Linked DNA regions of Macaca mulatta. The protein of the gene in region 1 purifies or fractionates together with the protein of each later gene. This does not show direct contact. Links are inferred from orthologs where the notes say so. Each region holds a gene or a part of one and is shown in the gene's direction. Other genes may lie near its edges.

What was found.
Region 2: the proteins of PPP1CB (region 1) and GSK3B purify together in Homo sapiens (affinity purification with mass spectrometry; 3 studies listed by BioGRID and IntAct, with this or other methods). This does not show direct contact. The link is inferred for Macaca mulatta from reciprocal best matches to the Homo sapiens genes PPP1CB and GSK3B.
Region 3: the proteins of PPP1CB (region 1) and PPP1R12B purify together in Homo sapiens (affinity purification with mass spectrometry; 4 studies listed by BioGRID and IntAct, with this or other methods). This does not show direct contact. The link is inferred for Macaca mulatta from reciprocal best matches to the Homo sapiens genes PPP1CB and PPP1R12B.
Region 4: the proteins of PPP1CB (region 1) and PPP1R9B purify together in Homo sapiens (affinity purification with mass spectrometry; 4 studies listed by BioGRID and IntAct, with this or other methods). This does not show direct contact. The link is inferred for Macaca mulatta from reciprocal best matches to the Homo sapiens genes PPP1CB and PPP1R9B.
Region 5: the proteins of PPP1CB (region 1) and CCDC85C purify together in Homo sapiens (affinity purification with mass spectrometry; 3 studies listed by BioGRID and IntAct, with this or other methods). This does not show direct contact. The link is inferred for Macaca mulatta from reciprocal best matches to the Homo sapiens genes PPP1CB and CCDC85C.
Region 6: the proteins of PPP1CB (region 1) and TRIOBP purify together in Homo sapiens (affinity purification with mass spectrometry; 3 studies listed by BioGRID and IntAct, with this or other methods). This does not show direct contact. The link is inferred for Macaca mulatta from reciprocal best matches to the Homo sapiens genes PPP1CB and TRIOBP.
Region 7: the proteins of PPP1CB (region 1) and RAI14 purify together in Homo sapiens (affinity purification with mass spectrometry; 3 studies listed by BioGRID and IntAct, with this or other methods). This does not show direct contact. The link is inferred for Macaca mulatta from reciprocal best matches to the Homo sapiens genes PPP1CB and RAI14.

The regions. Positions count from the first base shown.
Region 1 is NC_133418.1:96,222,336-96,226,349, reverse strand, and holds the start of PPP1CB (serine/threonine-protein phosphatase PP1-beta catalytic subunit), read left to right. Parts: upstream 1-1,214; 5' UTR 1,215-1,541; coding exon 1,542-1,593; intron 1,594-4,014. UniProt on the Homo sapiens protein: Protein phosphatase that associates with over 200 regulatory proteins to form highly specific holoenzymes which dephosphorylate hundreds of biological targets.
Region 2 is NC_133407.1:163,632,914-163,636,886, forward strand, and holds the start of GSK3B (glycogen synthase kinase-3 beta), read left to right. Parts: upstream 1-1,173; 5' UTR 1,174-2,187; coding exon 2,188-2,275; intron 2,276-3,973. UniProt on the Homo sapiens protein: Constitutively active protein kinase that acts as a negative regulator in the hormonal control of glucose homeostasis, Wnt signaling and regulation of transcription factors and microtubules, by phosphorylating and inactivating glycogen synthase (GYS1 or GYS2), EIF2B, CTNNB1/beta-catenin, APC, AXIN1, DPYSL2/CRMP2, JUN, NFATC1/NFATC, MAPT/TAU and MACF1.
Region 3 is NC_133406.1:60,098,549-60,102,048, forward strand, and holds part of PPP1R12B (protein phosphatase 1 regulatory subunit 12B), read left to right. Parts: intron 1-1,639; coding exon 1,640-1,843; intron 1,844-2,085; exon of another isoform or gene 2,086-3,500. UniProt on the Homo sapiens protein: Regulates myosin phosphatase activity. Augments Ca(2+) sensitivity of the contractile apparatus.
Region 4 is NC_133421.1:59,875,257-59,878,756, forward strand, and holds part of PPP1R9B (neurabin-2), read left to right. Parts: intron 1-1,935; coding exon 1,936-2,165; intron 2,166-2,488; coding exon 2,489-2,585; intron 2,586-2,754; coding exon 2,755-2,808; 3' UTR 2,809-3,500. UniProt on the Homo sapiens protein: Seems to act as a scaffold protein in multiple signaling pathways. Modulates excitatory synaptic transmission and dendritic spine morphology. Binds to actin filaments (F-actin) and shows cross-linking activity. Binds along the sides of the F-actin.
Region 5 is NC_133412.1:172,838,191-172,840,647, reverse strand, and holds part of CCDC85C (coiled-coil domain-containing protein 85C), read left to right. Parts: intron 1-142; coding exon 143-241; intron 242-1,072; coding exon 1,073-1,162; 3' UTR 1,163-2,457. UniProt on the Homo sapiens protein: May play a role in cell-cell adhesion and epithelium development through its interaction with proteins of the beta-catenin family. May play an important role in cortical development, especially in the maintenance of radial glia.
Region 6 is NC_133415.1:13,825,858-13,829,934, reverse strand, and holds the start of TRIOBP (TRIO and F-actin-binding protein), read left to right. Parts: upstream 1-1,277; 5' UTR 1,278-1,292; coding exon 1,293-1,406; intron 1,407-3,067; exon of another isoform or gene 3,068-3,462; coding exon of another isoform or gene 3,463-3,740; intron 3,741-4,077. Other genes in the region: uncharacterized protein LOC107000659, read right to left, coding at 3,463-3,740.
Region 7 is NC_133411.1:35,887,697-35,891,196, forward strand, and holds part of RAI14 (ankycorbin), read left to right. Parts: coding exon 1-558; intron 559-2,377; coding exon 2,378-2,527; intron 2,528-3,500. UniProt on the Homo sapiens protein: Plays a role in actin regulation at the ectoplasmic specialization, a type of cell junction specific to testis. Important for establishment of sperm polarity and normal spermatid adhesion.

The DNA.
Region 1 (4,014 bases):
GCTGCTTATTTGTGTGATTTGGGCTAGGTTTTTTAACCATCTGTGCCTCGGTAAATCCCATCTACAAAGCAGAGATAATAATAGTACCTACCTCACAGGGCTGTTATAAGGATTAAATGAGGTAACGCGGGTGTAACATTTAAAACAGTGGCACAGCACATAACAGGGATATGAACAAATGTTAGCTACTATTAGTGATATGTGAGTGGGGGAAGTACTGCCTTGGACTTGGGGCAATATCAGATCTGAGTTTCTGGAAAAACACCTGTGGAATAAGTAAGGGTTGGCCACCTCCTAAAACAGGACAAAAGATCTGGCTTGCCTAGATCCTTAGCGTGACTGCCTCTCCTCCTGCCTTTCTAGAAGCAGTATTACGTGATGGAAATATTTGGTGGGTGCTGTGCGCACAAAGATAAGTTAGTGTGTTTTTATCCCCTAGGAGCTGAGTCGAGAGTGGGAGAAAAATGCATAAATAATTACCAGGTAGGATGATTAAGCAATATACTGGAAGCAGCAACAGAAACACACTGTGGAAAAAAGATACCCACGGCGTGGATGGAGATACAAGATGTGTGAAAGCGCTAAACACAGGCAGCCATATGCACCCATGTAAAATTGTATTATTGCTGACTCCTACAGGGCCCACTTTAACTCTTCTTTCAAACAGAATCCCTGCGGAACTAATTTTGTAGAACCACTGGGGGTAAAGACCTTTATTTGCAATGTCGAACTCCAGCAGAGTTAACCCCTTCTTGCTTTTCACAAGCGCAAACCCGGGTTCCAAACGCTGCAGTTCGCGTTTCCCGGCTAGGAAGAAACACGAGGAACTGCTTGCAGATCTAAGGTATGAAGCCATGAAAAGGAAAGCGAGGCCAAAAGGGTGCAACCACCACGTCTGGAAAACGCCAGTGAAGCAGAGGAGGAGGAAGGTGAGCCCTGCCCCAGCCCGCTCTGCGTAACCGGGGCTTCCTCCGAGCGGCAGAGCCGGGCACCTCCTTGGCGCCTGCGCCGCGGCGGCGAAACTCGGCGCCGTGGACGTGGAGAGAGAGGGCGACGCACCTGCGCGAAGACGGCGGCGGCAGAAGCCGCTCCAGTGCGGCTGCGCGGAGGCCCAGGCGTCGAGGGGAACCTCGGCGGGGAGCGCGCCGGGCGCCTGCGCGGAGAACTGCGTGACGCGGTGGCGCGCAAGGGACGTGCGGAGTGAGTGGCGCTGCGGGTGGGGCCGTCGGCGGCGCTGGTGAGCTTTGCGGAGCTGGGCGGTGCCGAGGACGAGGAGGTGGCGGCCTTGGTCTGACGCGGCCCTGTTTGTGGGGGCCCCTCTTGTTTATTTATTTATTTTCCGTGGGTGCCTCCGAGTGTGCGCGCGCTCTCGCTACCCAGCGGGGAGGGGGTGGGGGGAGGGCCCGGGAAAAGGGGGAGTTGGAGCCGGGGTCGAAACGCCGCGTGACTTGTAGGTGAGAGAACGCCGAGCCGTCGCCGCAGCCTCCGCCGCCGAGAAGCCCTTGTTCCCGCTGCTGGGAAGGAGAGTCTGTGCCGACAAGATGGCGGACGGGGAGCTGAACGTGGACAGCCTCATCACCCGGCTGCTGGAGGGTGAGTGCGCGCCGGGCCGTGGGACGGAGGGAGGTCGGGCGCCGCCGCCGACCCCTGCGTCCACCTCCGCCGCCGAAACGCGAGGGGACCTCTTTCCCGCCCCGAGGCTGTCTCTGGGAGCGCGGCGCGGCAGACCAGCCGAGGAGGGGGCGAGGAGGCTGCTGGGCGCCGGGGAGCGGCCTCCGGGAGCGCGGTCAGGGGAAATCGGGGGAGAGGGGGCCGTCCCCGCGGACCCTTGGTGGCCAGGCCCGCCGGCCGGCAGCTGTGCGGAGCGGGTCTGCGGGAGACAGCCTTTCGGAAAGGCCGCCGGGCTCCGCGCGCCGTCGTGCTCGCCTCCGGTGACTCCTCCGAGGAGGGGGAGAGGATGCCTGCCACCGGGCTTTGTGTGTCCGTGGAATCAGTGTTTCTTCTCTCTTTGTGCATTGCCCTTGGCTGCCTCCGATTGTCGTTCCGCGAGTGAATTTTATGTATATATATAAAAACCTGTCCGTAACAGGAATGCTTCGTCTGCTCTGCATTTTTACACGATGCCATAGAATGGATTCTTCTTAGAGAGGATAAAATTAGCGGGAATTTATCTACCATTTGTTATTCGGCCTAAAAAAATTGTAAGACAAAATATTTGATCAGGTTGAAGATGCACGTAAGAAATGTGATGTATGTAGATGTTGGCTTTTGCGTTTGATTTGAGCAGAGCTTAATTTCTGCACAACTTAGTGAAGATCTATTTTTAAAGCCTGTCTTGTGTTCGAAAGGTATTTGCAAGTCTACGCAGCATTTGAACTTTCCGGGCCCTGGTGTTCTTATCGAATAGTTTTATGTTGGTGGGAAGGCAAGGGGGGGGAAAGCCAGGAGTTAAATGTATTGATTCATTGCAGGATATTATTCAAAGTTAAATGCCAAACAGTCCTTCTACCCTAAAATTTTCGTCATCACTAGTTGTTTTGTGAGTGTGTAGAAAAGCCATTAATCCCTTTTAAACAATTTAGAGGCCTCTTTGTTAGCCGCCATCGAAGGATTGCATATGTACTGTTTGCTTTCAAATTACCTTAAGATAATTGTTTGCTACAGTAAAGCAACATGTACTTATATTTGGAAAATCATCAAAGAATATTTTAATGGGGGAGGGGTAACTCGTTTTTTTCAACGAATGTGTCGGTATCTAAAACCCAAGTTCTGTGTGTAGCCGTTCTGTAACTAAATACTGTATATTTGCTCCAGAAGTGAAAGCCATCCAGCAGTCTTAAGACTGAATAGGAAGCAAAAGTTTTACCAGGAACTCTTATTTACCTTTTCCTTTACTATCAAGTTATTCCTGGGAGGCCCCCTGGTGCCTGCAGTCAGTGTTCACTACCTAAGACTTTGTTTCAGATGTGAACGTCTTGCTGGGTCTTTGAGAAATTTGCTTTGAAGAAAAATTGTATTTTGTAACTGTTCTATGAGAGAAATACAGTTAATTTAAAAATGTATATGTCTTGTTTACATTTGGGAAAGTAGAGGCCTACTCTCCCCCCCCCCCCCCCCCACGGAGTCTCACTGTGTCTTCCAGGCTGGAGTGCAATGGCACGGTCTCGGCTCACTGCAACCTCCGCCTCCCGGGTTTGAGCGATTCTTCCGCCTCAGCCTCCCGAGTAGCTGGGATTACAGGCACTCCGCCATCATGCCCGGCTAATTTTTTTTTTGTATTTTTGTAGAGACGGAGGTTTCACCATCTTGGCCAGGCTGGTCTTGAACTCTTGACCTCGTGATCCACCCGCCTCAGCCTCCCAAAGTGCTGGGATTACCAGCGTGAGCCATCGCGCCGGACCCAATTTTATATATTTTAAACTTTGCTTGTAAATTTAAATATTTTAAAAATATGTTTGTATCTCAACTTTATATTTTATTTCATTTTCCATCTATTTTATAGGCATAAAACAGATTTATGTTTTAAAATGTTTGTATCCTTTCAAATTAGATGCACCTTTTTATGATTACAGGTACTTAAACTTCACGAGTGGGTTGTGGAAGGTTACTGGAAAAGACATTGGGGGAAAAATAGTCTAAGTGATTCAATTTGTTTTTGTGAATTCAAATTAAATATTTGGTTTTGTACAATCTTTTTTCCTTTTTGGGGGGCGGGGGTAAGAATTGTAGTCCAGACACATTTCTCTCAATTTAGCAAGCGTTAACATGCTGACCTCCTCCTTGCCAGGCACCAGCAATCCTAAAACAAGACACAGTCTCTTCACTCAAGGAGCTCCGAGTCTAAACAAGTGGCTTTCAGGCTTTTTCAGCCTTCTCTCTGTCCTGTGTTCAGCACACATTCTATCAGTAGATTTCAGTACTTCTTCATCCTACAGAAGCATATTTAGTTTGACAGTGCTACCCAGGGATTCTTAAATATTCTGGGTTTTTCACCTCCTTCCCAAATCGAGGCCT
Region 2 (3,973 bases), on another chromosome or scaffold:
CCCCCGAGGCTGGGCGGGGCGCGGCCGCCCAAAGAAGCTTTGTTCCCATTTTAGCGTCTGAGAGCTTGCTGCCGGCTGGGAAGGCCCCCTTTGTCCGTCAGGCCCTTTCGGGGAAGAGGCCGACACCCGGCACACGCGATCCAGGGCAGAGGGGAGCCTTAGGCGCGCAGAATTGGCTGCGCCCCGCCGAGAGCCTCCTGTGGATGGGGAGAACCCCTCGACCCCTCTGCTCGCTTGAGCTCTTAGAACCCAGCGCCGCCGACCGCAGCACTTTCCGATTTGCTGCGCCTAGGGCAGGCGGTCCCTATGTGCGGTTTCCACCGTAGTTGGAGGCCGCAGGCGAGCCGTCGGGTCGTCAGCCACGACCCTAGTCGGGCATCTCCCAGGTCCTGGGACGGAGGCCGAAGGCCAATCACACTGCAGCTAAGTCTTGCGATTGGACGGCAGTGAGAGCCGATTGGCCACCGCCGCGAGTTTCGAGCTCCACCCTCTCCCTTTTGCCCCAACTCCAGCGCCTAAGCTTCCGGCCAATGAGACGGCGCTTTATAGACGCCCTCCCTTCGCTTTCTTCTCCCCACCTTGGAGAGGGAGGGGAAGTCCTGACTGGCCAAACTGTCCTCGGAAGCCCCCTTCCCTTCACCAATCACCGAGGGAGGTACGCTCCCAGCGGAGTTTTCCAGCCAATTACAAAGCGGCGGCGGCGCCCAACCGTGCAGTTTCACCAGCGTCTCTGGGTTTCACCGTCTTCAACTCTTCAAGCTTTTTCGTGAGGGCCGGCGACTCTGATTGGCCACTGTTGCCATTGTCGAATGTCTCCTCCAGCCAGCCACCGAACAAGGCGAAATCACCCTTTCCGTTCGGCTGCCTTCGGCATTTTCCGCTCTTTGGGCGTGGCTTTCCAGCGTCACTTTCTAATTGGTTTCTCAGGCCGATCGGCTTTTTCCGGGAGGAGCCGCAAACAAACGACGTCCGTGATTGGCTCCGTTCGGGCTTCGGCTCCCAGCCGAAGCGGGCGAGAGTGGGGCTCGGGCGGCGATTCCCAGACGCCTGTTACGCGGGCGGCGGTGCGCTGGGCGGTGTAAGGCTGGGTGGGGGAGGAAGGAGGTGGAGGAAGAGTAGGAAGGGGGAGGGGGAGTGGGGAAGTGCAAGGCGGCTGCGCAGACAGCGCTCCTCACACAGAGCAGCCCCTGACCCGGGCGAATGCGGGCTTGTGCCGCCGCTGCCGCCGCCGCCCGGGCCGAGTGACAAAGGAAGGAAGGAAGGAAGCGAGGAGGAGCCGGCCCCGCAGCCGCTGACAGGGTTCTGGGCTGGGGGCAAAGCGCGGACACTTCCTGAGCGGGCACCGAACAGAGGCGAGGGGCGGGAGGGCGGCCGAGCTGTTGCCGCGGACGGGGGAGGGGGCCCCGAGGGACGGAAGCGGTTGCCGGGTTCCCATGTCCCCGGCGTATGGGGAGCAGTCGAGGAGCCGCTGCCTGGGGTCTGAAGGGAGCTGCCTCCGCCACCGCCGCCGCCATGGCCGCTGGATCCAGCCGCCGCCTGCAGCTGCTCCTGGCGCAATGAGGAGAGGAGCCGCCGCCACCGCCCGCCTCTGACTGACTCGCGACTCCGCCGCCCTCCAGTTCGCCGGGCCCCCGCCGTCAGCCCGCCGGATCCCACGGCTGCCGGAGCTGCAGCGTTTCCCGTCGCATCTCCGAGCCACCCCCTCCCTCCCTCTCCCTCCCTCCTACCCATCCCCCTTTCTCTTCAAGCGTGAGACTCGTGATCCTTCCGCCGCTTCCCTTCTTCATTGACTCGGAAAAAAAATCCCCGAGGAAAATATAATATTCGAAGTACTCATTTTCAATCAAGTATTTGCCCCTGTTTCACGTGATACATATTTTTTTAGGATTTGCCCCTTCTTTTCTCTCCTCCCAGGAAAGGGAGGGGAAGGAATTGTATTTTTTCCCCAGCCGTAAATCATCTATATGTTAAATATCCGTGCCGATCTGTCTTGAAGGAGAAATACATCGCTTGTTTTGTTTTTTATAGTATACAAAAGGAGTGAAAAACCAAGAGGACGAAGTCTTTTTCTTTTTCTTCTGTGGGAGAACTTAATGCTGCATTTATCATTAACCTAACACCCCAACATAAAGACAAAAGGAAGAAAAGGAGGAAGGAAGGAAAAGGTGATTCGCGAAGAGAGTGATCATGTCAGGGCGGCCCAGAACCACCTCCTTTGCGGAGAGCTGCAAGCCGGTGCAGCAGCCTTCAGCTTTTGGCAGCATGAAAGTTAGCAGTGAGTATTGATTTTATTTTACGCCCCTTTTCCACTTCGCCCTTAAAATAAGAAATCTCGGAATACCAGGATCTGAAAATATTAGACTTCCTAATATAACAAACAAGCAATGGAAAAGGGCAAAACCTATCTTCAGTCAAGGATGAAGCAGCTCCCTCTTTACTCCTCCCATACCCCCTCCCCCGGTCTCATTAACCTTGAATTGAGATAATATGATTTTTATTTGGATGATTCGATTTGAAACTGCTTTCTTATACTTTTCTTGCTGTTGGTAGTGAGTTTCATCAAGTGCTTGAGTGTTTCCACGTTAGTGATGACCGTGTTTACTTGCCCATCCTTTAGAATAAAGAGAAGGACAAGATTTGATTAATAAACCATTGTGCACATTTGCAGAATGTATGTCTTTTGGAATAAGAGGGTATTTTAGGTCTCAGGATTTATCATAGTTTGGTATACTTAATAGAGACATTAAACGTCCCACCCTCCCAACATTTTTTTCTTGTCTGTATGACTACACATAGTATTTGTTCTTAATCTGTGGATGAACTTGCTCAGTAACCATTCACATTTGGAGGCTGTCATTGATTTCTCTCTTTAGAAGGGACTAGTGGGAGCCAATAAATACCCAGCAGCAGTAGCATCTCTGTATGCATTTGTGTTCGATTGGATTAGTGGTTTGATGTGTTCTCTCTTAACCTTCCTGTTTTGACATTACCAACCTGCCACCGTATAATTTATATTTAATCAAAAGGTAACATAGAAGTATTAATAGGTCCAGGTTTTGATTGAGATTTGTTTTGTCATAGTGCCAAATAGTAAGTTAAATGTTGTCACTGGCTCATTACATTTAAGTTCAATTTTGGAGTACTGTTGCGCTCCTGTTAAATGTTCTGGAGGGTTCCTTAAAAAGGACGATTTAAAATACTCTTGCGTTAGTTTCCATCACATTTAGATAACTGTGGATTTAGTTAGAAGAATGTGGCTTTAGTCCTTTCCATTTTGGCTTTTGCAGATGGCTGTGGTCCTGGAAATAATAGGGATATTTGGACTGTGTTCAGGGTTGTAGATAGACTACTCTTGTCCTGGGTTTGTGCTGAGAAGTATGCTTTTGAAGTGTTTAGTATATACTAAGTATCTAATGTTCCAGTGTATCTCTATTTATGGAGAAGTTCATGTGGTGTTTAATGACAGCTTGTTTAAACATACTTTCAGAATTTAACAAAAATATCTATGTTGTTTCCTTATTGTGGGAAAGAGGGTCATCATGAGGGCAAAGAAATTACTGTGTTGCTTAGAAGAACGGAGAGAACTAAAGAACTGAGATTTTAAGAACTGACACACACAAAAAACATGTATGTTATGTGAAATTGATTATATTCTTAGGCAACATAAAATGATCACTTTTAGTTGAACTCAAGATTTCATTTCGTGTTGGCTTTGGGAACTAGCCTGAAACAGGGTAGTCTAGGTAATAGCTGAATGGGAGATTATTTTTCAAAGTTAATTTTTTTTTCCCCCGGTGGTTTGCAAGTAGAGAATGCCGGGGTAGGAAAAGAGGACAGCTGATTATGCATCTTTCAGGGAAGGGTCGTGCTTTCTAAGCGCTTCATGGAGTCATTTGAAAAATATTTTAAAATTCCGGGGTAATTTTCAGCTATGATGATACAAATCTTATAATAACTACTTAAGAGCCTCTGT
Region 3 (3,500 bases), on another chromosome or scaffold:
GCCATTGCATTCCAGCGTGGGCAACAGAGTGAGACCCTGTCTCAAAAACAACAACAACAGCACCACCACCACCACCACCACACACACACACACACACACACACACACACACACACACACACACAGATACTTATTCTACTTTGCTAAAATGATGCTGGGGAAGGCATTTTCCCCCTTAGAATCAGAGTAGCTTGTAAAAAGCTGACATTGAACCCCTAAAGCTGGAAGGAGTACATACATGTGTACATTCAGATGACTGATGAAAAGAGAAAATCTTATGTGAGTTGGAGATTAGTGATTAATAGTTTTATTTATTTTCACCGTATCAGGCAGTAAAGGTAGCCTTATATTGGAAGAAAGGCCTAAGTCTTCTTGAAAAGGTCTTGGACCTCAGGAAGGGTCTGTTGGCTTGTGTTCCAAAGACTAGTTGTACCCCAAACTGGTCCTTGGCCTAATACTGATCTATGATGTTTCCCTAGTTTATGGCAAAATGAGATAATTAAGGACAATGTAAGCTTTCCATAAAGCTTTCTTTTTTGATATTAACATTTCATTTTTAATGAAATGGTGGTGATGATGAGTTCAAAAAGAAAACATCTTTCAGAATGTTGTTTTCTTTTGGCAAAATTAAATTTAAAAGATAAAAAGATAGCAACCCTTTGACCTCTAGTTTTATGGGGTTTTTTTTTGGCTTTTTTTGGAGGCTGCTCAGTGAAATCTAAAGCTCTCTAAACTGCTACTCTAGATCAAATAAATTTCCTTGAAATTAGCAGAATTTAAGTGGAGTGGCTTCTAGAATTTTTATCAATGTTAACTTAAATCACTTTATCATAGTACCTTAAAATGTATTTATAAATTAGCCTGTTCCTGGCTGGACATGGGCTCATGCCTGTAATCACAGCACTTTGAGAGGCTGAGGTGTGAGGATTGCTCGAGTTTAGGACTTCGAGACCAGCCTGGGCAACATAGGGAGAACTTGTCTCTATTAAAATTTAGAGAAAATTAACCAGGCATGGTGGTATATGCTGGTAGTCCCAGCTACTTGGTGGGCTGAGGTGGGAGGATCACTTGAGCCCAGGGGGTCAAGGCTACAGTGAGTTCTGATTAGGCCACTGTACTCCAGCCTGGGCGACAGAGTGAGACCCTACTTCAAAAAAAAAAAAATAAAAGATAAATTAGCTGGTCTCATTTTTTCCAGTCTCCACATATTATAAGGGATTAAGCTCATTATCATCATTTTACAGGTGAGCATGTTGAGACCTAGAGAAGTAAAGTATCTTATTTTCAGTTCCACAGTGAGTTAGAAGAAGATACATTACTCGAATACAATCTCCTGGTGTTCCAGGTCAGTATTAATTGCACAAGGATAGCAAATGGTATTTAATTTCTCATAACAACTCTGTCAGGTAGGAGCACTGTGTGAAGAATCCGAGGCTATTTTTGACTTAGGAAGAAAGAGCCTGGAGAGGTTATTAGTGTTTGCCGGGTGAGGGAGGGAACATTGGCAGAAAGACTGCCCTGTATTTGTTCTTAGCTACCTTATGTTGCCTCGCTGAACTTAGTTAAGTGTGGAAAAGGCAAATAGGCTGAAAAAGAATCATCAGAGCCTTTATTTTTCATTTCTTTTGCTTCTCTCGTAGTTCTCTTCTGGCCTTTTTAACAAGCCAGAAGAGCCCAAAGATGAATCTCCTTCTTCGTGGAGATTGGGACTGAGAAAAACTGGCAGCCACAACATGCTGAGTGAGGTGGCCAATTCCAGGGAACCTCTAAGGGACCGAGGCTCTTCCATCTACCGTTCCTCTTCAAGCCCTCGGATTTCTGCTCTACTAGACAACAAAGATAAGGTGCAGTTTGGGAGGGTGTGGGGGAATTCCAATGCAGTTTTTTTTTCCATGAAAATTCAATCTTAGCAACAAATGAAAATATTTTCTAGTCCTTAAGTTGATTTTGGAAATGCAAAGCTTTTAAAGGGAGACAGGCACACTGATAGTTTAATCAAGTAGCTATTTGCTTGCTATTATTTACTTGGCCAAAAAAAAAAAAAACTTTAAAAATAGCTTTTCCTTTTGGTTCGTTCAGTCTTCCTTGCCCCCTTACCTAAAGCAAAAAATAGATCAGAAACATAAAAATTTCAATATGGCGGAGGGGGGCACAGGACCGCAGGCAGGGGTCCTGGAGCCAGAGGGCCAATTCCTATCCCCTCAGCAGCATGGCATCGTGTGCTGAACCCTCTGAGCCCTCTGCCCCCGCCTCCTGCCAGGGTCCCACTGCTCGAGGACTTCGAGGTGCTGGATGGGGTCGAGAATGCAGAGGGCAAGGAGGGAGAGGAGGAGGAAGATGACCTTAGAGAGCTGCCACTGCTGGAGGACATGGGACAGCCCCTGGTGGAAGAGACTGAACAGCCCGGGACCTTGGCCCGAGAGTTCCTCACTGCCATGGAGCCTGAGCCTGCCCCGTCCCCGGCCCCAGAAGAGTGGCCAGACATAACCAGCTGTTGAGGAAGAAGACGCTTGTCCCAGGGCCACCGGATTTGAGCTGCTCAGTCAAGGGCCAGGTGGTCACCATGCATTTGCAGACATCACAAGAGAATGGCATGTGGGTGCAGGAGGAGCCGGAGCTAGTGTTCACCCTGAGCGTCTGTGAGGTCATCCAGGCCCTGGATCTCAGTGTCTAACTCATGGACGTGGGGGAGGCAGCCATGGTCACTGCTGACTGCATGTACTGCTACAGCCCCCAGGACAGGAGCCCATACATCCCCCGCACGCGGCCCTATGCCTGGAGGTGACCCCGAAGATGGCCGTGGACTGGCCTGACCTGGAGATGCTCATAGGGCAGGAGCGCGTGGCCTTGGCCAACCGGAAGTGGGAGTGCGGCAGTGCCCACTACCAGTGGGCGGACTTCGTCCTGGCCACCAACTCCTATGACCTTGCCATCAAGACCGTCACCTCCAGCGCCAAAGTGGACATGACGTTCGAGGAGGAGAAGCAGCTCCTGCAGTTGAGGGTGAGGTGTCTGAACAACCTGGTGGCCTCACAGGTGAAGCTCGACCACTACTGCGCAGCCCTGTGCTCCTGCAACCTCGTGGGAGCACCATCTGGACAACATTAAGGCTGTCTTCCACAAGGGCAAGATACTGCCCCAGCAGGGTGAGTACAGTGAGGTCATCCCTATCCTGAGGGCGGTCCTGAAGCTGGAACCTTCCAACAAGACTATCCACGCAGAGCTCTCGAAGCTGGTGAAGAAGCACGCAGCACAGCGGAGCATGGAGACCACGCTGTACTAGAAAATGCTGGGCAACCCCAGCCATGCCCCAGCAAGGGTGCCTGGTCCAGCCCATGGAAGTGGCTGTTTGGGGCGACTGCTGTTGCCTTAGAGGGTGTGGCACTTTCTGTGGTAATTCCTGCCAGGAACTGACCACCCAGGTGGCCACCACCCCGTCTGCACACCATGGACCCTGCCCTGCGCTCCCTAACTCCCCCAGGCTCCCTGTCCACTGCCCTC
Region 4 (3,500 bases), on another chromosome or scaffold:
GGGCAGAAGCAGGGGCATTCCTGGCAGGGAGAGGAGCTCTGTGGAGCATGGAGGCTGGCTTTGGGGGAGGCCAGCCAGGAGGTGGCAGCATGCCTGTCGGGGAGAGGTGGAGGCAGGGCTGGACTGCCAGGGTAGGCTCTGGCTTGCAGTGTCCTGCCTCCCCTCTAAGGACTCTGGCCTTGGTCCTATAGATAGCATGGAGTATGTGGCCATTGGGATTTTTTGGAAAGCCACTGCCTACAAAGTGGGAGGGCATGAAAGTGGGCAGTGCTGGGAGGCAGGCGAACTGGTTAGGGGCCCAGACAGTGTTCTGGTAGGGGTAGGCCAGGACTGCTCAGAGTATTGGCAGAGGGTCTGGAAAGGAAGGGTGGGTGAGCACTGCATTTCCGGGGTCAGAGTGACAGGCTGTGTTCCTGGGGTGTATGCAGAGTATGAAGGGGAGGGACACGCCAAAGGTCTGTTTGTGCGTTCCACTTACAGACCTCCTCTGGGTACCTTATAGATGTCCGGTACTGTTCCCATCACCATGATGGGCAAAGCCAGAGCTGACCATTGTTCTTGTGCATCTGCAAACCAGTGACTGTGTTGTCACACACTGGCATGGGGCTCTGTAGGAGAGAACAGGCTTCCTGAGCTGCTAAAGCAGGAGGAACCTGATTTGGGTAGAGGTGGGGATAGGGCTATGCTGTTGCAGGGAGTTGTGGGGGCTTCTCTGGAGAAGTGACACACTGAGTAGAGAGCCAAAGGGTGAGATAGAGGGAAATAATTAGGCAAGCAGGAGGGTAGATGGGGGACGTTCCAGGCAGAGGGGACAGCACATGCAGAGGCCCTGTGGCAAGTCTGAGGATCTGCAGGAAGGCCTGTGTGGCTGGGGGACAGAGAGCAAGGGATGTTTGCAGCAAATACTGGAAGGGGCCTGAGACTGAGTGCCAACATGTCTGTGAGGTTGTGGGGCCTTTTAAAAGAGCAAATCAGGAAAGAAGGCATAGGTTTGTGCAGCTGCGGGGGTCTGGTCTGGGGCATGGTACCTGGGAGGAGCTGGGAGCTAAAGCTGGGAGTTGGGAGCAAGGTTGGGCTGGGACTTGAGATTTGTGGCTCAGAGTGCACACAGGTGGTGTGGGAGATGGGCCAGTGCCCCAGGGCAGTGAGTATAGAGAGAACAGAGGATCCAGAACTGAGCTGTGGGGGACTGGAGGTCTGCGCTGGGGTCACCTGGAAGCTGGGAGAGGAACCAGGATTGTTCAGGAAGCCACAGGAGCAGACTGGCGAGCAGGGCTGGGGCTGCAGAGAGGGGACAGAGAGCGATGGAGGAGCAGAGACTGGCGAGCAGGGCTGGGGCTGCAGAGAGGGGACAGAGAGCGATGGAGGAGCAGAGACTGGCGAGCAGGGCTGGGGCTGCAGAGAGGGGACAGAGAGCGATGGAGGAGCAGAGACTGGCGAGCAGGGCTGGGGCTGCAGAGAGGGGACAGAGAGCGATGGAGGAGCAGAGACTGGCAAGCAGGGCTGGGGCTGCAGAGAGGGGACAGAGAGTGATGGTGACCCTCATCTGCCCTTTTACTTCACATGTACTGTCTCACTAGAGCTTTTGTGAGCTTGGGAGGCACATATCACTCCCATTTGACAGATGGGATTACTGAGGCTTGGAACATTAGTTGCATTGCCCCAAGTCAGAGTATCAGCGACAAACCGAAGCCTCCAGCCTCCCTGTGAGAGGGGTGCAGTGACAGGGAGTCTGGTGGGAGCTCTGAGGCCGAGCTCTACTTTCCTCTCTGGGTTTCAGTTCTCAGGCTCAGTCAAAGAGGGTTAGTAGTTGGGGTGCAATGGACTCCACAACTGTAGGAATCCCCTGGCGACTCTGGCACCAGTGCTAGGATGGGGGTACCCTTTGGCTCCTGCTGGCCCCCACCAACCCAGGGCCGTGCCTTCCTCCCTCAGCTGCAAAGCCTGGAGCAGGAGAAGGGGCGCTGGCGGGTGGAGAAGGCGCAGTTGGAGCAGAGTGTGGAGGAGAACAAGGAGCGCATGGAGAAACTGGAAGGCTACTGGGGCGAGGCCCAGAGCCTGTGCCAGGCTGTGGACGAGCACCTGCGGGAGACTCAGGCGCAGTACCAGGCCCTGGAGCGCAAGTATAGCAAAGCCAAGCGCCTCATCAAGGACTACCAGCAGAAGTACGTGGCTGGGGGCTGGGCGGCCTGGGCCCAGGGAGCATTGAGAGGCTTTTGGGGGCAGTCCCTCCCCACCCCTCCAGCTGAGTAGGGAGGCAAGGAGCACAGAAGTTGGAGGGCCCCATGGTGGGACACCCAGCCTGGAATGACATGCATCAGAGCCAGCACAGAGCCAGACCCCCAGAGGCTTTGGGAAAACCTGGGGCCTCCCAACCTGAGAACAGGGGAGGACAGAGCTGCCCAGGTAGAGCTGAGGACCTGGGTCATCCTGGATGGAAGCCAGACCACACACCCTTACCTGCCATCTGTCCCTTGCCTATGCCCAGGGAGATAGAGTTCCTGAAAAAGGAGACTGCACAGCGTCGGGTTCTGGAGGAGTCAGAGTTGGCCAGAAAGGAGGAGATGGACAAGCTCCTGGACAAGGTGGGCTCGGGGCGCCCTGTGGGCAGGGCCCAATGGAGGGAGCAGCACTGAAGCCCCTACCCTATGGGTCCTGGAGGGAGGGGATGCCATGTCCTCACCAGGGGGGTGGAAGGGGCTGGGATCATGCCTGGTGTCCAGACCTGACCCCCTACCCTCCTTTGTTTTCCAGATCTCAGAACTGGAAGGAAACTTGCAAACACTGAGGAATTCCAATTCTACTTAACAGGAATCATTCCTTGACAGGACAATAATTAACCCCCTCCCATTGTCCTCCCTCCCCTGTCCTCAACACCCCACCCCTCCCCCTACCAGCCTGGGGACAGGTGCCCCGACTCCCCCCCACCCCTCCACCCCACCTCCCCCAGCTTCAGGGACCAGAGGGCTCATATCACAGGCCCCCTTAAGATGGCCTGGGCAGACAGAGGTGGCTGGAAGGGCGGCCTCTTTCCTGCCCCATGGGGCTGAGGCACAGAGGCCGAGGGCTGCCAAGGGCTGGCCTGGTGGTCGATGGACACAAGCACCTGCACATCAAGCTGCCAGACTTTACACACTCCAGCTTTTGTCTCTGGACTGGAACGGGGCTGGGGCTCTCCCAGCATCTGCCAACTGGAGGCTGCTCCCTGCCCATGGGGCACCTGGGTGGCCCCTGGGCCTCTTGACTTGAGATTCTACCTTCTCGGCCCTTCCCTCTCCCCCATCATTGTGCTGTCTCTGTTGCATTCCGACCCTCCTGCTTGGGGGGTGGGGGCATTGCCTCAACACCTCCCCGATCCCTGTTCCCTGTCCTGGGAGGGATAGAGTCCACCCCAGAGCCCGGAGGCTGGGCCTGGCCCTGGCCCTGCACTGATTTCTCATGTGTCCTTCGGGAAAAGGGGAGTGAGAGTAGGAAAAAGGGAGAGTTCAGGACACCTGATC
Region 5 (2,457 bases), on another chromosome or scaffold:
CCACGCTTGTCACCAGGGGCCCAGCAGCTCAGGGTCCTCAGCTTTGGTGTGCAGCAGGGGAGGCTGAGGCCCAGGGGCCAAGTGACTTGCCCAAGGTCTGCCAGTGGCCTCTGCCCCTGACTCCAAGACCCGTTCCCTTCAGGTCCTGGAGGTACATGAGAATCTGGACCGGCAGCTCCAGGACAGCTGCGAGGAGGACCTGAGTGAGAAGGAGAAGGCCATCGTTCGCGAGATGTGCAACGTGAGGCTTCCAGGGGTGGGGGGCAGAGGCTTGGCACTGGGAGTGTGACCAGGGCCACCCAGCATGGCCATACCCTTCCCCATGTGGGACTCCATTTCTCGAATGCTCAGCGAGGGCTGAGTGGCCTTGGATGGCTGAGGGGAGGCCTCGGAGGCACTGAGAGCCCCGGCTGGTCGTCACCTCACTGCCCCCTGCCCTTCCCAGAGGGCCCGTGGTGTCTGCAGATCTGCCCTCCCCATGAGGGGCTCTGGACAGAGCCTGAGCCCCCCACCCCCTGGGGTTGGTTTGTTCACCCCAGGTGTTCCCTGGGTGCTGGCCCCTGGGCCTCCCAGCTTGCTGGTGCCCCCCGTGGCTGCTGGCTGGGCAGGTGGTGCTCAGAGCAGGAGGTCCAGGTGGAAACCCTCAGTCTGCCAGGCTGGGGCCGCCCAGGAGAGCCCCGTGCCCAACCCAGCTGAGCACCATCAGTGGTCTCCTTGGGTGCTTGCAGGAGCCATCGGGGAAGGAGTTTCATAGGGTATGAACCCAGGGCTTAAATGGGGGCGAGGGGCTCTGAACTGTGCAGCCCCTCCCCCACATCACCTAGTGGGGCTTATGGACCCCACTGGACAGCTGCAAGGCTGAGCCACACCCCAGCAATGACCTGCTCAGGCCCGATAGCGGGCATGCAAAGACCTGATGTGGGTGTCTCTGGGCCTGCAGTGGCCTCGGCGTCCCTCCTGGCCCCATGGCTCTGAGGTCGTGGGTGATTCTGCCGTGATGAGGCGGCGGACGCACACAGCCGGCAGGTGGACGCGGGTGAGGCCACCACTCACAGCTCTGTCCTCTTCACAGGTGGTCTGGAGAAAGCTGGGAGATGCAGCCAGCTCCAAGCCCTCCATACGGCAGCACCTGTCTGGGAACCAGTTCAAGGGGCCTTTGTAGGGCCACTCTTCTGTGGACGTGGACTGGCCCTGCTGGGAGTCCCCAGGGGGAGTTTCAGGCCCCAGACACGGGCAGGACCTCCAGTCCAGCCCTTGTCTTCTTTCTCTGTGGTGAACTGTACATAGGACGCTGCCCGCCCTGGCCCAGCTGCCATGGCTCCGATGCACTGGCCCAGCTGCCATCTCCCGCCTCACACACCAGCAACCTGGGAAGGAGACGCCGCGGCCGTTCCTGCAGCAGAGCAGCCCGGACGCCTTGTTCCCTCTCTGGGCCCCGAGCCCTGAGCCCCATGAGCAGGAGGCTGCTTCTGAGATCCAGCCTGGGGACTGTCCAGGCTCCTGTGTCCCGCCTGGGATGGAGGGGCCACTCATCAAACCCTCTACTCCCCGGCTGCCACCCACACTGGACGGACAGCACCGCTACCTGGGTCTTGACACAGGTGGTACCACTTCTCGCCCACGTGCCGTGGCCTGGCCCACCAAGCACTGGGTCCCCGGCACGTGGACAAGGCCGCTCACCATGTCTGTGGCTGGCTGGAGGCTGCCCTGGGCCCTTCCTGTGACCCCATATCTGGAGCTCAGGGTGCCCTCACCCCTGGGGATCTGCACCCAGCCACCCAATGCCTGCTGCTCCTTGCTTTTGGAGGTCATCCCCCTCCCCCACAGTCTCTGCAATGTCCCCCTGCCACCCTGTCCAGGCTATGCCCTTTTTGGGCTCCTCCTGCCCCATGCCTGGGGCACGTCCCTATTTGTGGTTTACATGACAGGCCAGTAACATAGGAAGGGCCTGGGGAGAGTTTCTGGGCTGAGCCATATGTGATTTTCCTGATGGGCAGCACTGGGCCACAGCTGGGGCTCTGGTTGGCTGTGACCTCCCCCAGGGCCTGGCTGCATCTCGGGTCCCTGTGGACAGAGCTCTCCGGGCTGCAGATGAGAGCTGTTCTTTTTGGGAAGGAGGGGGTCTGGTCAGGTTCTGCCTTTAGTTTGTGGTGTGACCTTTAGCAGTTCACTCAGCCTCTCTGGGATCTTGGTGGAAACAGGGCTCTGAGGTTCCTTTCAGCCATGCTTATGGCTTCAGGTCATCCGGCACACACAGGGCAGGGGTCCGCACTGGGGGGTGTGAGCCGACAGCTGACCTGCTGGAGAGGCCAGAGGGCGGCCGGACGGAGCTGAGTGCCGCTGCCTTGCCGTCGCTGCGGGTGGACGGTTGCCTCCCCACTCTGAGCCCGTGTTCTCCGTTGTAAAATCGGCAGCAGAAGGCCCTCCTCACAGGATTCTGGGATCAAGTGAGATCTT
Region 6 (4,077 bases), on another chromosome or scaffold:
TTGGGGCGCACTAGAATCACCGGGGAAATCACTTTTTTTTTTCTTTTTTTTTTTTTTTTTTTGAGACGGAGTCTAGCTCTGTTGCCCAGGCTGGAGTGCAGTGGCCGGATCTCAGCTCACTGCAAGCCCCGCCTCCCGGGTTCACGCCATTCTCCTGCCTCAGCCTCCCGAGTAGCTGGGAGTACAGGCGCCCGCCACCTCGCCCGGCTAATTTTTTTTTGTATTTTAGTAGAGACGGGGTTTCACCGTGTTAGCCAGGATGGTCTCGATCTCCTGAACTCGTGATCCGCCCGTCTCGGCCTCCCAAAGTGCTGGGATTACAGGCTTGAGCCACCGCGCCCGGCCTTTTTTTCTTTTTTAAAGACAGAGTCTCGCTCTTGTCACCCAGGCTGGAGTGCAGTGATACGATCTCGGCTCACTGCAACCTCCACCTCCTGGGTTCAAGCAATTCTCCTGCCTCAGCCTTCTGAGTAATTGGGACTACAGGCGCGCACCACCATGCCCAGCTAATTTTTGTATTTTTTGTAGAGACGGGGTTTCGCCAGTTGCCCAGGCTGGTCTTGAACTCTTGGGCTCAAATGATCCGTCCGCACTGGGCACAGCTGGAATGTGCATTTTTTTGTTTTTTGTTTTGAGATGGAGTCTCACTCTGTCGCCCAGGCTGGAGTGCAATGGTGCCATCTTGGCTCACTGCAACCTCCGCCTTCCGGGTTCAAGCCATCTTCCTGCCTCAGGCTCCCAAGTAGCTGGGATTACAGGCACACCCCATCACACCCGGCTGATTTTTGTATTTTTAGTAGAGACGGGGTTTCACCATATTGGCTAGGCTGGTCTCGAACTCCTGACCTCAAGTGATCGGCCCGCCTCGGCCTCCCAAAGTGCTGGGATTACAGGCATCAGCTACTGTGCCCGGCCTGGTATCTGCATTTTTATGAACAGCCCAGGAGGGTGTAATGCAGAGTCCTTGGCATGCACTTTCAGCAACACTGCAGTAAGGACTAGAAATCGCACATCAAATGCTGGCAGAGTGCTTGGGTGCTTAGTAGGTGCTTAGCGAGTGTTTGTTGAGTGAATAAATGAACAGGAATGGATGGAGAATAGGAACATCCAAAGGAATGGATGAGTAACCTTATTTCCTTGGTCCTTGTCTGGAAACTGGGGCAACTGGGGCTGAGGTTCAGGTGAGTGGCCAGCCAGTCATCTGGTCTTTGCCTCTCCCTCATTTTCGCCAGGCCTCACCTAGAGGTTCAGCCATTGGATTATAGGAACTGCCCTGCCCTGACTCACCCAATATGGAGGAGGTGCCTGGGGATGCCCCCTGTGAACACTTTGAGGCCAACATGCTTACCCAGAACCGCCGTCAAAACTGCTTCCACCCTGAGGAGGCCCACGGAGCAAGATACCAGGTGAGCCAGTTCTCCACGTGGTTGAGGTGGTTTGGGATGGGGGCATGGGTGAAGGACTGGGCCTGTGGTGTCCGCTAACTCACAGTTGAACCCAGATGCTGACCTTCCTCCTGGCCAGAGCCTCGGTTTTCCCACATTGCAATGAAGTGGTTGAACCATGTGAATGTTTCACAATCTTCAGTCACTTTCCTCCTGCTTATATGATACGATTGTTACCATAGCCTCATCTAATCTATTACTTACTTTGTTAGTCTTTAAATCAACATCTTTTTCCCCTCCTATTGTAAAAAAACTTCACATCATCAACACAAGTAGAAAACTATAATTATTTCCTGTGTATATAAAGTTAAGGAGAAAGGTAGAGCCTGGGCACAGAGGCTCACACCTGTAATCCCAGCAGTTTGGGAGGCCAAGCAGGTGGATCACCTGAGGTCGGGAGTTTGAAACCAGCCTGGCCAACATGCTGAAACTCCATCTCTACTAAAAATACAAAAATTAGCTGGGCACGGTGGTGCATGCCTGTAATCCCAGCTACTCGGGAGGCTGAGGCAGGAGAATCACCTAAACCCGGGAGGCGGAGGTTGTGGTGAGCTGAGAACACGCCACTGCACTCCAGCCTGTCTCAAAAAAACCAAAACACAGAAGAAAGGTAGAAAAAGAAAAAAACAAAACAGAAATGTCATTAAACCCTAACTCGAGAGTATTTTCTTTTTCTTTCTTTCTTTTTTCTTTTTTTTTTTGTAAGACAGAGTCTTGCTCTGTTGCCAGGGCTGGAGTACAGTGGCGTGATCTCAGCTCACCACAACCTCCACCTCCTGGGTTCAAGCGATCCTCCCACCTCAGCCTCCCAAGTAGCTGGGATTACAGGTGCCTGCCACCATGCCCAGCTAATTTTTGTATTTTCAGTAGAGACAGGGTTTCGCCATGTTGGCCAGGCTGTTGTTAAACTCCTGACCTCAGGTGATCCACCTGCCTCGGCCTCCCAGAGTGCTGGGATTACAGGCATGAGCCACTACACCTGGCCTCGAGAGTGTTTTCTTTTCTTTTTTTTTTTTTTACGAAGATTGAATCTGCTTTATTTATATACACAATGGGGCAGCCTAATGCACATCATAACATTAACTTTTCCAAACAAGTTTGCTAAGAAACTGCTCCTATATTTAGTGTTAAAAATAAAACAATCTTCCCATTTAGAAAAATCAAGACATCCGTCAATTAGTAAAGCCTATTCTTCCTCCCAGCAATTTGTACTTTCTTGTATTCATTTAGGAATTGTGAATTCATGAGAAAAGAACACTTTTTTTTTTTTTTTTGAGACGGAGTCTCACTCTGTCACCCAGGCTGGAGTGCAGTGGCCGGATCTCAGCTCACTGCAAGCTCCGCCTCCCGGTTTACGCCATTCTCCTGCTTCAGCCTCCCAAGTAGCTGGGACTACAGGCGCCCACCACCTCGCCTGGCTAGTTTTTTTGTGTGTTTTTTAGTAGAGACGGGGTTTCACCTTGTTAGCCAGAATGGTCTCGATCTCCTGACCTCGTGATCCGCCCGTCTCGGCCTCCCAAAGTGCTGGGATTACAGGCTTGAGCCACCGCGCCCGGCCGAAAAGAACACATTTTTTATGTGTTAAATATCTTCCAGGAACAACAGTTTACAAGTATTCATTTGTTTAAATAAACACAACTATTTTCCTTCTTAAAATGTAAACATCCAGTAAATAAAACATACATGATATTCCAGGTATAGAAATATTAGTAACTCACTTATGAAACAGGTGCATTTTGGTATATTTGGTGGTAAGGTTTTTCTTTGTCTTATGTATAAAAGTACTTGCACAAAAAAACAGGCTATTACTATTTAAAACACTATTCCTTCACCCAGTTTCCTCACTCAAGTAGAAACTCATGAATTTCTGTGATTTTCGCTATAGGACCAGGCCACAGGAAAGGGCTAAAATATCTCTAATTAGAGCTAGGGAAAAGTGTTTTCTTGAGACTTGAAGGCAGTCATTCGTCACTTTGTGCTCGAAGACATTCCTCAGTGAACTTCTCTCCTAGAGCCTTCAGAGTAAAGCACAGGATCTGGGCTCCCGGAAGGGGTTACTTCCGGCTGGAACACCCACCAGCAGGGCATCCTTGCAGGCATTCTGCATACAGTATTGTTGAAGCTCTGCAGCTGCCTGAGGGACCTTGATCCTCTCCATGCCAGCCTCCAACTTGAGCTGCTCCACCAGGCGCTGCAGGGCGCTCGCGCTAGCGCTGGAGGACATGGCGGCGGCACTGGGTTCTGAGGGCCGAGAGTGTTTTCTGTGGAAGGCTCTGAGCTTGAGTCCTGCTGTCTCTTTGTCAAAAAGGGAGATTAGCAGATGTTAGAGAGATGTTAAGAATACACCAGCATCATCTGGAGATTTTCTTTCTCTCTCTCTCTTTTTTTTTTTTTTCCTTTTGGAGATAGGGTCTTGCTCTGTAGCCCAGGCTGGAGTGCAGTGGTCCAACCATGGCTTACTGTAGACTCAACCTCCCAGGCTCAAATGATCTTCCCACCTCAGCCTCCTGAGTAGCTGGGACTACAGGCACATGCCACCACGCCCGGCTAATTTTCTTGTAGAGACGGGATCTCACTATGTTGCCAGGGCTAGTCTCAAGTTCCTGGGCTCAAGCGATCCCCCCACCTCAAC
Region 7 (3,500 bases), on another chromosome or scaffold:
GCACTGTCCGAAATGAAGTCTCAGTATTCAAAAGTGTTGAACGAGTTGACCCAGCTCAAACAACTGGTCGATGCACAGAAAGAGAACTCTGTCTCTATCACAGAACATTTGCAAGTGATAACCACGCTGCGGACTGCAGCAAAAGAGATGGAAGAAAAAATAAGCAATCTTAAGGAACACCTTGCAAGCAAGGAAGTGGAAGTAGCAAAGCTGGAGAAACAACTCTTAGAAGAGAAAGCTGCTATGACTGATGCAATGGTACCCCGGTCTTCCTATGAAAAGCTCCAGTCATCCTTAGAGAGTGAAGTGAGTGTGTTGGCATCGAAATTAAAGGAATCAGTGAAAGAGAAAGAGAAGGTCCATTCAGAGGTTGCCCAGATTAGAAGTGAGGTCTCACAGGTGAAAAGAGAAAAGGAAAATATTCAGACTCTCTTGAAATCCAAAGAGCAAGAAGTAAATGAACTTCTGCAAAAATTCCAGCAAGCTCAGGAAGAACTTGCAGAAATGAAAAGATATTCTGAGAGCTCTTCAAAACTGGAGGAAGATAAGGATAAAAAGGTTGGTGAAACTGCATTGCTGTTGGGTTTCTAGCAATAAGTCTTAGTCTCTTTGGCTTTTACTACATTAAATACTTCTAGTGTTGGCACTAAACTGGAGTGAATGCTCAGAGACTCTGCACATGAACTTTATCTGTCCCCAAAGCCACATTAAGAATAGTTTGTTGGATCGGCCAGATGTGGTGGCTCACGCCTATAATCCCAACACTTTGGGAGGCTGAGGTGGGCAGATCACTTGAGGTCAGGAGTTTGAGACCATCCTGGCCAACATGGTGAAACCACATCTCTACTAAAAATACAAAAGTTAGCTGGGTGTGGTGGTACATGCCTGTAATCCCAGCTACTAGGGAGGCTGAGGCAGGAGAATTACTTGAACCTCAGGAGGTGGAGGTTGCAGTGAGCCAAGATCAGGCCACTGCACTCCAGCCTGGGCAACAGAGTAAGACTTCATCTCAAAAAGAATAGTTTGTTGGGTATTTATATTTTAAAAACACATCTGCTGGGCATAGTGGCTTACTCCTCTAATTCCAGCAGTTTGGGAGGCCATAATGGGAGGATGGCTTGAGACCAGCCTCAGCAACATAGTGAGACCCCATCTGTACAAAAAATTTAAAAATTAGCCAGGCATGGTGGTGCGAGCATGTAGTCCCAGCCACTTAAGAGGCTAAGGCAGGAAAATCACTAGAGCGCTAGAAGTCAAGGTTGTCATGAGCCATATCAACGCCACTGCACTCTAACCTGGGCAACAGAGTAAGACCCTGCCTCAAAAAATAATAAATAAGCAAACATCAATCTTTGGCCACTTCTCCTTATACTAAAGCATTTTCACATATGTGATGCATATTTGTCCTTCAAAAATCATTTTACAGAAGCTTTGGCAGTGTTGGGGATCAGAAGTGAACTTGCAAACTGAAAAGTATTTGTGATCCACCTCAAACTTCAAGTTCTTTTTTTGGATTCAGAACAGATTCCTCCATAATGTGAAACTAAAATACTCCTAGACTTAATCCTGCTCCCCTAAGGTCCATCAGCTTCCCCTCAAGTCAGCGTAAAAGCTACCCTCACTGGCCCCTCCTTTGACAGGTATATAGGAGAGGAAGAGGAATGTGGCGATCCAGCAGTTTAAGATGGCACTGGACACAGGAGATGGTGCTGGTCATGCTGCTGGAGGAAGGAGGGAAGCAAAGGGAAAGTTCGGGGGGATAGTTCCACACCTCAATCAGCTCTGCATCGCTAGTCCCCTGTCTCAGAGGTTCCGAATGGCATTCATTAGAGACTACTTATCTTTATTCTTTTGTAATGAGTGTTTCAAAAGAGCTTTACCAGCCAGGGAAACAGGGATTAGCGAGTGGTGGGGGTACGGTGGGGAGTTACTTGTGTTTACTTTAAAGAAAGATGTCCAGAGATAGCAGGCTTCCTAGGCCTTATTCCTGATCGCCCATGTCAGCAGTATTGGATGAAATATAGCTGTCTCCAAATAAAGCCTAAAATCCTAATTCTGATTTTTTTTTCAATCATACCCCTTTTAAAATAGGAAACCAACATCACAGCTTTTGTTACCACCATCACCAAAACATAATATGTAATTCAAGGGCCTTTATCTGAACCTAATGGATGCAATGGGCTTTGTTAGTTTGCCTGATTTTGTTATCTGTTTCATTTTATGAGTTTTTTTATTTAAATGTATTAAAAGGGAATTGTTCCAAAGTCTTAAGTCCCAGAGACCAAAAGAGATGACTATGTTTGAGGCTTAGAAATATATGAAATTTTGCTTTGCAGACATGTTACTGCCTGTTAATACCATTTTCCTTTGTTCCTAGATAAACGAGATGTCAAAGGAAGTCACCAAATTGAAGGAGGCCCTGAACAGCCTCTCCCAGCTCTCCTACTCAACAAGCTCATCCAAAAGGCAGAGTCAGCAGCTGGAGGCACTGCAGCAGCAAGTCAAACAGCTCCAGAACCAGCTGGCGGTGAGCGGGCTTGCTTCTGCTGCCTGGTTTGGGGTGGAGGGCCTGGCAGATTCCGTACCATCTCAGCTGCTAGGGCAAGTGGGCATGAACAAAAAGATTCCCAGCCCAAAGGAATGTACTTCAATGAGCAGTTGACTGATTTCTTCAGTGAGGGCGAAAGAGGAAGCCACTGGTGGAATTCTCAGTCGTTATCAGCAATGCAATGGATCAGATATTCACTGCGAAGGAAAGAACCGACAGGACAGTGGGAGGAGACTACGTGCTCACTCATACCCTAACTTTTTGCCCCTTCTCCTTTTTCTGCAACATTCCTCATCTCTGGCAGTGGCAAGAGCTTTTTCTTGTTAGGGGCCAGGATCTCTAGTAGTTGCATCTCTATATATCTGAAGCTGCTTCTTGGCCCCTCTCCTTATTTCACCCAGGAAAGCCCTTCCTTATCTAAATTGGTTTCCTGGGTCCACTGTAACAAATCACCACAAATTTGTTTAAAACAACATGAGTGAATTATTTTATAGTTGCATTGAACAGAAGTCCAAAATCGCTTTCACTGGACTAACTTCAAGTTGTTGGCAGGGCTGGTTCCTCGCCTTTTCCAGTTACCAGAGGCCGCCTGCATTCCGTGGCTCATGGCCCCTTCCTCCATCTTCGAGGCACATCACTCCAGCATCTGCTCAGTCTTCCCATCTCCTCCTTCAGCCTTTGATTTTCTTGCCTCCCTCTTATAAGGACCCTTGTGATTACACCTAAAGCCTACCTAGATAATCCACGATAATCTCCCTCTCCATTTCAAAACCCTTAATTTCATCTGCAAGATGCCTTTTGCCATATAAAGTAACATTCACAGGTTCTGGGAATTAGGATGTGGACATCTTTCGAGAGCCATTATTTAGCTTACCACAGTATCTGTTAAGGTTTGAGTTGGCATGGGTACATTACGTTTTCTACCTAAAAACCAGAGTTAGTCTGTCCTGGA